Linked DNA regions of Macaca mulatta. The protein of the gene in region 1 interacts with the protein of each later gene in a biochemical or structural test. Links are inferred from orthologs where the notes say so. Each region holds a gene or a part of one and is shown in the gene's direction. Other genes may lie near its edges. The genes, in order: GTF2B, CREBBP and GTF2F2.

Region 1 (3,652 bases):
TTATGATGAATTTAGTGAAAAGAGCTTGCCATGAAACAGGTACAATATCTAAATTTTAGGAAAACATATAGGTGCATACATATGAACGAAAAACACAGAGCATATATGAAAATATAGTGGTCGTCACTGGGTATTGGGAATGGAGGTAACTTTTTTTTCTAACATCTTTTAGTGAGCAAGTATTTTCTAAAAAGGAAGAAAACTTGATCTCTTTAGTGTGATCTCTTTGGGACATGGGTTTGTTGGTGAATAGTACTCACTGCACAGTGGTTTGGTAAGGTTTCAGTGCACAATGACAATTTGATACTTTTAAGTACCTTTTTAAAATCTGTGTAATTCACATTACTTCCTAAGTTTAGTGATGTTTATTATGAGGAAGAGGAAATAGAGAAATCCTTGTAATGCCATCCATCTAACGCTTTTCTCCTTGTTTTGGGCCACCTCCTCGATGTGATGTATTAAAATTGCCTTCTGACTTACCGCCCTGCTTCTGCCTGCCTTGCCTGTTCTCATTGCATGCAGGGATGGCAGATGGGAACTCTGCCTCTAATCTCAATCCCTTTGTAATGTGGACACATGGTAGTCCAACTGATAATCTACTTTTACCTCAGCTGTTTAAAGAAAAGTTTTTCTGTTGCGTGCGGTGGCTAACCCCTGTAATCCCAGCACTTGGGGAGGCCCAGGTGAGTGGATCGCTTGAGCCTAGGGGTTCACGACTAGCCTAGGTAACATGGGCAAAACCCCGTCTCTACAAGAAATACAAAAATTAGCCAGGCATTAGTGGTGCATATCTGTAGCTGCTCAGGAGGCTAAGGTGGAAGTATGGCTTGAGCCTGGGAGGCAAAGGCTGCAGTGAGCCGAAATTGCACCACTATACTCAAACCTGGGCGAGAGAGCGAGATCCTGTCTGAAAAATAAAAAGAAAGAAAAAAGAAACATTTTGTCAGAGGCTTCAGGAATGAATCATTCTCTTGAACATTTGCTTACTTTCGACAGGGTCTCACTCACCCAGGCTGGAGTGCAGTGGTGTAATCATGGCTCCCTGCTCCCTGCAGCCTCAACCTCCTGGGCTCAGGTGATCCTCCCACCTCAGCCTCCCTACAGGCATGTGCTACCATGCTCAGCTAATTTGTTTTTGTATTTTTTTGTAGAGACAGGGTTTCACCATGTTGCCCAAGCTGGTCTCGAACTCCTGGGCTCAAGTGATTTTCCTGCCTCAGCCTCCCAAAGTGCTAAGATTACAGGCGTGAACCACCATGCCGAGCCTTTTCTTAAATCTGTCACTAAGATTAAATTACATGATCACTATACTCTGGTTGTTTATGAGCATTTAAATTAATTTTTATATACAAAATTTTAAAGTTAGCATAGTCTAGGTGGAATTCCTTCTGTTTTCTCTGTTCTTTGCTGTCCTCCTGATCAAGTACTTAGCAGAGCACTTGGGAACTTTTAAAGTCTTCTATGGAGATTAATGTTACTGTTTTGTTATTTGGGTTTTTTTTTTTTTTAATTTGAGGCGGAGTTTTGCTCTTGTTGCCCTCTTGTTGTGAACTCAGCTCACCACAACCTCCGCCTCCTGGGTTCAAGCAGTTCTGCCTCAGCCTCCTGAGTAGCTGGGATTACGAGCATGCACCACCACGCCCAGCTATTTTGTATTTTTAGTAGAGACAGGGTTTCTCCATGTTCGTCAGACTGGTCTCGAACTCCCAACCTCAGGTGATCCGCCCGCCTGGACCTCTCAAAGTGCTGGGATTACAGGCATGTGCCACCATGACCAGCTAATTTTGTATTTTTAGTAGAGACAGGGTTTCTCCATCTTGGTCAGGCTGGTCTCGAACTCCTGACCTCAGGTGATCCGCCTGCCTTGGCCTCCCAAAGTGCTGGGATTACAGGCGTGAGCCACTGCACCTGGCCCGAGATTAATATTTTAAACTGATGCCTCTCCCTTATCATCCCCACAAAAAAGGAGAAACTCAGAATATATGCTATCTTTCTAATTTTCATAGCAGTAAATAGCGAATATTGAGCACGTAGTACTACTTTTTAAACACTTTACATGCACTATACGTGGGTATTATAATATCTTATTTAATCTTTATAATCTTTAAAATACGAGGTTAAGGAGAATTTTAGAGCTGAGGTAATAAAGACATAGAAATGAAGTAATATTCTAAGGCTAAGCAGCAAAGGGCAGAGTTCACACTCTTGACTATTATATTAATTGACTGTTAATACCATAACTCTAATTGCTGCAGTAACTGGTTTCTGCCATTTGTTTCTTTCTGCTTGCTGTGTATACACAAAGATGAAATGGTCTGGTTCCTTCCTACTTTCAGCTTCATCACAATTCACTGAAAAAGCTCATGTTTTATAATTGGAGTGTAGAACAGACTCTGATGTGCATTTCAGTTCTAGCTATGTGATCTTAGGCTAGTTCATCTTATTTGTGAAGTGGCAGTAAAAGTGGTACCTCCCTTGATAAGGCTGTGAAGATTAAGTGAGAACATGTACAAAAGGGCACAATGAGTATCGTGTGTAAGTGTTCAGTGTTAACTTTTGACTACTCTGAAGGTATTGCCAGACATTGAGATTTCTCACCAAAACAGTAATAATACGGTTTACTTGTGTCTGCTTTTTTTTGACATCATGTATTTAGATGCTGCCTCTTGGCTTAAAGAGAAAAGTTTGCCAACCAGACTTTGTTCTTACTGATTCTAGGCTTGAAGTTTATTCTGTATAAATTATTTGGCCACATATATTTTTCATCAAATTGTTACTTTGAAACAGAAGCTTAGGCTTATTTTCTGCAAAGCATTTCCCACCAAAACTTAGTGACGTTTTAATATGAAATTATTTGCATTAATACCATTCTAAAAAATGTTTTCTGTTTTTTTCCCATGCCTGTTGCAAATTTTGTGCAAAATCTGGTTCTTAATCATTATTACATTGTTTGCCTTTGCATCACATATGAATAGCTGTACTTTGCTACTTTTGACATTCTTTTTCTTCCAAGAGTTAGAATATCATAGCATAATGTTTCAAGAGGATTATTGTTAGACTGGTACAATAGTTAAAGGAATGCTTTAGGACAAATGTCTGAAATGTGATATTTGAGCTAGATCCTAGATGTCCATGTGGAGATTTCCTGGGAATAAAATGGCTTAGTTGGGCATTGGACAGTGTAGTTAAGTAAACCTTATCTTGACAAAATGATTCAGGTATGTGCTTATATTCTTAGGTGACCGGGTTATCGATGTGGGATCTGAATGGCGAACTTTCAGCAATGACAAAGCAACAAAAGATCCATCTCGAGTTGGAGATTCTCAGAATCCTCTTCTGAGTGATGGAGATTTGTCTACCATGATTGGCAAGGTAATAAGTCCATTTGGCAGGAAATACCAATTGCAGAATGACCATAGACCTGAGAGTTTGGGAACTTTGCAAAAGTATGTCACTGTACCAGTGGGGACTCTTGACCTGTCTAATAAGATTTGCCAGTAATATCATTGTGAATGAAGGCTAACTTGTGTGTTTATTCCATCCTAAAGTGGGGAAGACTTTTAAATCAAATTAAATCCAAATTAAATCCAAATTACAGGGCCTTTATATCAGACCTTTTTTTCATAAATCACATTTTGTATACACACAAAAA
Region 2 (3,652 bases), on another chromosome or scaffold:
TCTTAAAAATGTAAGATGTCAGTTTCAGAAGTATGGTGGACACATGTTTAAAGTTTTGGGGAGTAGTAAGTATTAGAATACTTTTCAAGGTATTGTGCATGACTTACTTCAGCTACACACTTGTCATAAAGTGCACCTTGGGAGTTGCTTTTCATTTATGATAATGAGTGCTTGGTGTGTGTAATTGTGTCTGATGAGTGTTAATGAGTTGATCTGAGTATCCTTATTAGAAAAGTTAATAGTATGGAATGTATAATTACCAGGAATTTTCTTTTCACACATTTTAGTTTAATTAGGTCGCTCTGGGTAAGTATTGGGGTTACTATAGGTGCACTGATGGTTGAATGTGAGAATATTACTGTTACACATAGTGGTTGGAATTTGAAAGAAAGGCTTTGTGATCGTGTTTTATGTATCAAAAAATGATGTGTTATAGTAGCAACACTGTAGGATGCTATTTTTAACATGACTCTAAAATTTGTGGAAGTTAGAAAGGAACTCAAAAATAAGAATAAATAGTATGATGTAGAACTTCTGCCATATGATAAATTTTCACACAACATTTGGGTTGTTGGGACGGATGAGTGGGCAGGCAAACAGGTGGGTAGGTAGGTGGGTAGATGAATTGACTTTGAAATGCCCAAGTTGATGCAAGTTGATGCAAGTTTGGAGTAGTCTCTCCATTACCTTGGAAGCCCTTTGGGATGGAGCTTCTTATGTTGACACCAGTTTTTCCTTTAGTCTCCTGGGGTTAGCTAGCTGAATGGGGCAGCTTCCCTGCCAGCCAGCAGTGGGCCTGGGTAGCAGAATCTGATGTTGGCCATGTGAGGCAGAGCCACCTCCTGAATATCAGAGGTGCTGAGGTGGCCCCGGATAACAAGACCCATGCGGAATTGCGAAGCCTCACTCCAACCTTAATTTCAAACAAATCAGTCAATCAGTCAAGTTCAGTATTTCTTAAACAGCTTCATATAACCAGAGAGCTCAGCATGGTGCTCTGCTGCATAGGAATCCCGTCAGAAGGATGTGTTCATGCTGTCATTGCTTGTGTAAGTTTCAAGGACTTGCGATTATGTGATTTAGAAGAGCACATCATAGATTTATTAATCAAAACTGACCAACGAGGTATCATCTCTGCTCCTTCTCTTAAGCCCTCTGTACCTGTGCAGGTGAGCAGTGAAGGACAGGGTTGGGGTTAACAGCAGGAGGGTGCTCCTCTGTTCATCTCAAGGTGTCTGCTGCCCACCAGAGAATCAGACGTTTCCCTTGTCATACATTTGCCACTCCCTGGAACTGACCTCTTGAGGAGTCTCTAGGTTTTAAAACATACTAATTTTTTTCAGGTGTTATCTGTGAAATTTTATGATCTGTTGCCTGCTAAGATAGAAACTTCACTTTTCTTTCACTTTTTGTTCCTCACTTACTGCTAGGCAGAATACATGAGTCCTTCAGCACAGTTCCTTTCTCCCTAGCCTTGTTTTACTGCTTTATGATATTCATGTGTAGTATTTTGATGAAATGTATTTGCTTCTCAGTAGTTTTTTAAATCATTTGTGGGCTTCTCCCTTTTACTTACCTTTCTCGTTTGTCTGTCTGTTTGTCGTTATAGCCATCCTGGGGTCTCCAGCTAGTGGAATTCAAAACACAATTGGTTCTGTTGGCACAGGGCAACAGAATGCCACTTCTTTAAGTAACCCAAATCCCATAGACCCCAGCTCCATGCAGCGAGCCTATGCTGCTCTCGGACTCCCCTACATGAACCAGCCCCAGACGCAGCTGCAGCCTCAGGTTCCTGGCCAGCAACCAGCACAGCCTCAAACCCACCAGCAGATGAGGACTCTCAACCCCCTGGGTAGGTGAAGAAACTCTCAACTTCATTCTTACTTGTCCAAATATAGCAAAGGGAATGGAGTGATGGAACCCAAGGCAGTTTTCAGTTTGTTTTGTGTTTTTTACTACAGTGGTTGAAATAAAAATCTCCCAGTAAAAAGCTGAAGTGTCTAATGCAAGGAAAATGTTATATGCTTATAAAAAGAGCAGCATTTGCAAATGAAGCAATGTTTTTGTTGCTTGCTGTGCCACTTCTCTCTGGACAGTTTTCATAAAGAATGTGCCATGTGGCTCAGAATGCAGATCTCACAAGTCAGGATGCTGACTGGACCCCTCGTGCTGACTGTTGTCATTTATTTGATGGAGAACTTGCGTTTGCCACTTCCTCACACATCTTGGTTAGGGTCTACCCCACAGTTGGAAGTGACCAGCCTGGACTTCGGCAGGTTAATGACAGGAGCCCTGGAAACTCTTTTCCCAGGCTGCTGGACATGTCAGCATTTCTTTTGTCACCCCAGCCCATTATTTGCCCACCTTTGGTCATTTGCTCACACATACCCATGATTTTTGCCATTTCTGCATATGGTTTCCTTAATATTTTTCTTTAAGTGGACACAGTCCCTTTACATCTAGGCTTAAGCTAAGCAGTGATGTCTGTGAAGTCCAGACTGGCTGGCTGGCTGTGCTAGTTTTGTTCTTTTCCTAATAAAGTATTTTACGGTTAACAATTATTCCTTAAAATATGCCCAGCTAAAGTCATCTTATTTGTTGCTTTTTGGAAAACAACTGCCCCAGTGAATGTCTAACTAATAGTGGCCAGGAGACTGGGTTAGAGTCCTGAGACCCAAGTCTTAATCTAACTCCTCTCCTGTTGATGGTATAATTTAGGACAAACTTAACCTTTATTAATCTCGGCCTTCCTTTACTTTAATATGAAGATTGTAGACAAATTGACCTCTGTATTTTTTTCCTGAGCTTAATTTCTATGATTTTATTTTCTGATATTGGGGGTGGAGACACAGAGGTATATGTCAGTGCAGCTGAGTCACTCAGGAGTGATACTAATGAAGCAGAATGAAAGTCAGAGGCTGCATATGGATCATTTATAACTTTTTCACTTAGATACCAGCTAATCTCCATAAACACACCTTACTTTGGTTACAAAGTAGAGTGGGGAGGTGTCTACTGATTATTTGTGCACGTTGATTACCATTATTGAAAATATGACACTCGGGGTTCCTGCCTCAGTGCTTATTATAACTGACCAGAATCACTTATTTAAATAATCACCAATTGTTTATGTGATGACATGTTGGTTATCTGTCATCAAAACTTTGAAGTATATATTAAAATTTAAGAGTTGATTGATTTCTTTCTGTCTTTAAAGGAAATAATCCAATGAACATTCCAGCAGGAGGAATAACAACAGATCAGCAGCCCCCAAACTTGATTTCAGAATCAGCTCTTCCGACTTCCTTGGGGGCCACAAAGTAAGACCCTGTTTCAGTTCTGAGTGACAGTCCAACAAGAACGTGGACTGAGAACCACACAAAACTGATTCTTTCTAAATGTGTGGCACAGAAAATAGTTTAAATGGGGTGGTGAGGGGTGAATGCTGTTTTCCTTTTTTTCTTTAATTGTAAGTGTAGAGCAGATAATAGATTAAACATAGTTTAAGTTTTATTTATATACATTACTTGGCTCTCCTGACTTAAACTTTTAGAAGTCACATGTGGTGGTAGAAGAACCTTATTAGACAAAGTATGTTTGGGTCGCTTCAGTAGATGGATGAAGTGTCCTTATTTCCTCCATAGCCCACTGA
Region 3 (3,752 bases), on another chromosome or scaffold:
CTGTGCTGAACACACATAAAATTTCCTCAATTTTGTGCAAGGCTCTGATGTGTGATTCAATACATTACTTGCCCTTCTTAACAATACCTTACTGTTTGTTTCTCTTCAGCGAATGTTCTTTCACCCAAAGCCTGCTGAAACCTGACAATGTGTCAAACACTGTGCTATACATTGTGGATATAACATGAATAAAGCACCATTTTTTATTTGTAAATTATACCTCAATAAAGCTCTTTCTGCCTAGGAGGAGTTCGTTGTCTGGAAAGCAAAGGCAGATATGTAAACATATGTATTATAGTGCAGAGTGCTAAGTATCACACTGTGATGTGAAGAAAAACTAATTTCTTCTGGGGAAGTTGATAAAAGATCTCATAAGAAGTGACATTTCCATTGGTCTTGAACCATAAGTAGGAGTTTGCCAACCAGAGGAAAGAGTGGGAGTGAGGGCAGGGGTAAAAGAGGGCTTCCAAGGAAGGGAATCCAGTGTGCAGAGGCTCTGAAATGACCGAGGAAGATTCTGACGTGTTCCGGGAAGTCTGCTGGGTTTGGTGCGGTTCGGTGCATGGTGGAGTAATGGTGGGAGGGGAAAACGGATGAAATTAAGAGGGCCCAGTTGAAGCAGGAGGATTGAATTTTATTCTAGAGGCAAGAAGAGAAAGAGAAAACTTTAAGCAGGGGAGGAAACGATCAGTTTTGTCTCTTACTTGTTCGTTTCGTCACAGACCTTCGGGTTTTGGAATATGAGGTGCTCTGCTTGCTTAATCAGAGGAGCTCGGGCAGCCTCTGAGCTGAAACACGGCTTTCTTTTCAGGTCTAGAAACGGCATGTTTTCAATATACCCAGGGCTACCAAGTCTGATCCCAGTGCCCACTTGTGCTAATGACGTTGGCCAGGGGGGATGCCAATTTACTAACCTAAGCCTGTCCTTCAAATATTCTTTCTCTCTCTTTGGCTAGGGTTGGACACGTTCTGACAACTTTTGTCTCTTTGAACCCCGTTTTTCCGTTCTGATAATCTTTTTCTTCAGTTATGCTGGCCATGTCTTTAAATACGTTGCTAACGTTTTGGCTCATCTTACCCTATGTTTTAATCCCTCAGATACACACTACGCTGACAGCCACGCCCACCCAAGGAATTTCCGAAACAGAAAGTTTGTCTGCAACAGCGCGCCGTACGAACGTACAGTGCGCAGGCGCAGTCTGGCTACCGGCGGCGTGTTCCTCTTTCCCCCCGGTTTCCAGTGTCCTGGCAGGTAAGGAACGCCGCCTCTTCACCTCTCAGCGCGGCTTGCCCTTTGTTCCGGACGCCCACTTCTCAGCCCTCCGGCTCCTGGTGTCGCTGCTGTAGGCCACACGCGTCCACCGGCAACAGACCCATGGCCGAGCGCGGGGAACTCGACCTGACCGGCGCCAAACAGAACACAGGAGTGTGGCTAGTCAAGGTAATGTTCACGAGTCTCCCACTTGCGCTCCTCCTAACACAAGTATAATTTAAGTAACTTGAGCCCATCCCGCTCCGTGCACCTCTTAAAGTTCTTTTACGGCTATCTCGTTAGAGCTTCACATATTTTGAGAGGCAGGAGTCATTGTTGTATCTGTTTGCAGATGAGGAGATTAGTTTAGGGACGCAAAGTGTCTTTCAGCCGGTTACTGGTCTGAATCAGCCTGGACTAGATCTCTTTCTCACGGCTTTCCTGGAGCCCTGTCTTGGTGTTCCTAGACTTGGGCGGTGCATTTTATCCCAGACCGAAGAATTACTTGTATCTTTCCCTTGGTGAAACTGGTTTTAGCCATGAGCCTGTGTGAGGTAGTTGAATGTCTGCTTTCTGTACAGTTTTTTCGGCGAGAAACTAGAACTGGTCCCTGCGTACTCTTATTCTCTTAGGTAAATGGTCCTTAATGAAGCTCTCAAAAGAGGCGAGAGAGCCCTGAACAAACAGAAGGAGAGGTCAGGAGAGGTCATTGGACTGGAGTATTCTTTCAGAGCACATTTGGGTCTGATGAAACTGGCCGTCAATAAATGTTTTATGTAAAGACAGCAATTTTGGTTGGCTCACAGCGGGCACTATTTGTGCTTTACTGTTTCATGTTGGGAAGTGTTTTCTCCTAGGGGAGTTTCATAATACTTAAGCAAATTCAAAATGTGATCCTGAAAGTCGTTGAGACTTAAAATGTAAGGACTTTCGGTTTCTTAATGCTTTAACTGATTTATCATATGGCTGAGTTCTCGTCAATTAAATCTAAGAGGTCTTTCTTGTCGGCCTTCTTAAAAATGGCTCCCTTATGATCATTTGCTAACACGACAGATCCGTATTACATTCTTTCTTTTCTTTTTTTCTTTTTTTTTTTTTTTGAATCAGAGTCTTGCTCTGTCGCCCAATCTGGAGTGCAGTAGTGCGATCTTGGCTCACTGCAAGCTCCGCCTCCCAGGTTCACGCCATTCTCCTCTCTCAGCCTCCCGAATAACTGGGACTACAGGCACTCGCCCCCACGCCCGGCTAATTTTTTGTATTTTTAGTAGAGACAGGGTTTCACCGTGTTAGCCAGGATGGTCTCGATCTCCTGACCTCGTGATCCGCCCGCCTTGGCCTCCCAAAGTGCTGGGATTACAGGCGTGAGCCACCGCACCTGGCCGTTACATTCTTCAAAGCACTTTTCACAGTGTAGAGTGATTTTGTGTTAATATGTTCAAAGTTGGTTACCTCCGTCTTTCCAACACACAAAATCACATTCCATGAGATTGGATCTTTGCCTGTCATACCCAGAATAGTGTTTGGCACATGGTAATTACTCAACAAAAAGGTGATGAATAAATGCATGACCTCTCATTCTTTAACCCTCGCCTTAATCTGTGGCACTGATTTGACTTATTTCCAAGCTCAGTGTGACTTAAAAGGATGAATTAAATAGGCATTTCTCTCTCCAGCAGCGTGTTAATTGGAGGAGAGTCACTAAGGAGGAGATGGCCCTTGCAGACTGAAGGAAAAAGCTTGAAAAAATGGTGTGACTTGAGATGGTGCCATTGTTCTAGGAGCATGGTAAATGCTCAGTGTTTACGCCTTACAGGATTTGGGTGGGTGGACATAGCATATACCATGGGGAATGGAACAGAAATGCAAGACTCAAAATACATAATCAGCATGGTGTGTCGTGGAAAACAGAGAGAACCTAGAGCAGAAGATCTGTGTAGATAAAGGTTGGGACCATATACTCAGATTGTCATATCATGAAACGGAGATGTTCTAACTTTAGTTTACAAGGAAGTAACAAACTTTTTGGAGGATTTGAGTGAGGGAGAGATGCCAAATATTTATTCAGAAAAAAAAAAGTTTGGCAGTGTGCAGTACGAATTAGAGGGGAGGGTAAGTAACCAGAGTCACATTTAGAAAATCATCACAGGATTGGGCCGGGCACGGTGGCTCACACCTGTAATCCCAACACTTTGAGAGGCCGAGACAGGTGGATCATGAGGTCAATAGTTTGAGACTAGCCTGGCCAGTATGGTGAAATCCCATCTCTACTAAAAATACCAAAATTAGCCGGTTATGGTGGCATGCGCCTGTATTCCCAGCTACTCAGGAGACTAAGGCAGAAGAATTGCTTGAAACTGGGAGGCGGAGGTTGCAGTGAGCTGAGATTGCTCCGTTGCACTCCAGCCTGGGCAACAGAACAAAAACTCCATCTCAGAAAAAAAAAAAAAAAGAAGTAGTAACTTGTTGCTTAGAAAGTGTGTCTTCATTCTCATCTCATCAG

The links.
Region 2: the proteins of GTF2B (region 1) and CREBBP form a complex in vitro, tested with the Homo sapiens proteins (2 studies listed by BioGRID). The link is inferred for Macaca mulatta from reciprocal best matches to the Homo sapiens genes GTF2B and CREBBP.
Region 3: the proteins of GTF2B (region 1) and GTF2F2 form a complex in vitro, tested with the Homo sapiens proteins (2 studies listed by BioGRID and IntAct). The link is inferred for Macaca mulatta from reciprocal best matches to the Homo sapiens genes GTF2B and GTF2F2.

Annotation. Positions count from the first base shown.
Region 1 is NC_133406.1:151,737,254-151,740,905, forward strand, and holds part of GTF2B (transcription initiation factor IIB), read left to right. Parts: intron 1-3,238; coding exon 3,239-3,372; intron 3,373-3,652. UniProt on the Homo sapiens protein: General transcription factor that plays a role in transcription initiation by RNA polymerase II (Pol II). Involved in the pre-initiation complex (PIC) formation and Pol II recruitment at promoter DNA.
Region 2 is NC_133425.1:5,005,965-5,009,616, reverse strand, and holds part of CREBBP (CREB-binding protein), read left to right. Parts: intron 1-1,609; coding exon 1,610-1,852; intron 1,853-3,217; coding exon 3,218-3,320; intron 3,321-3,644; coding exon 3,645-3,652. UniProt on the Homo sapiens protein: Acetylates histones, giving a specific tag for transcriptional activation. Mediates acetylation of histone H3 at 'Lys-18' and 'Lys-27' (H3K18ac and H3K27ac, respectively).
Region 3 is NC_133422.1:24,430,828-24,434,579, forward strand, and holds the start of GTF2F2 (general transcription factor IIF subunit 2), read left to right. Parts: upstream 1-1,228; 5' UTR 1,229-1,375; coding exon 1,376-1,441; intron 1,442-3,752. UniProt on the Homo sapiens protein: TFIIF is a general transcription initiation factor that binds to RNA polymerase II and helps to recruit it to the initiation complex in collaboration with TFIIB.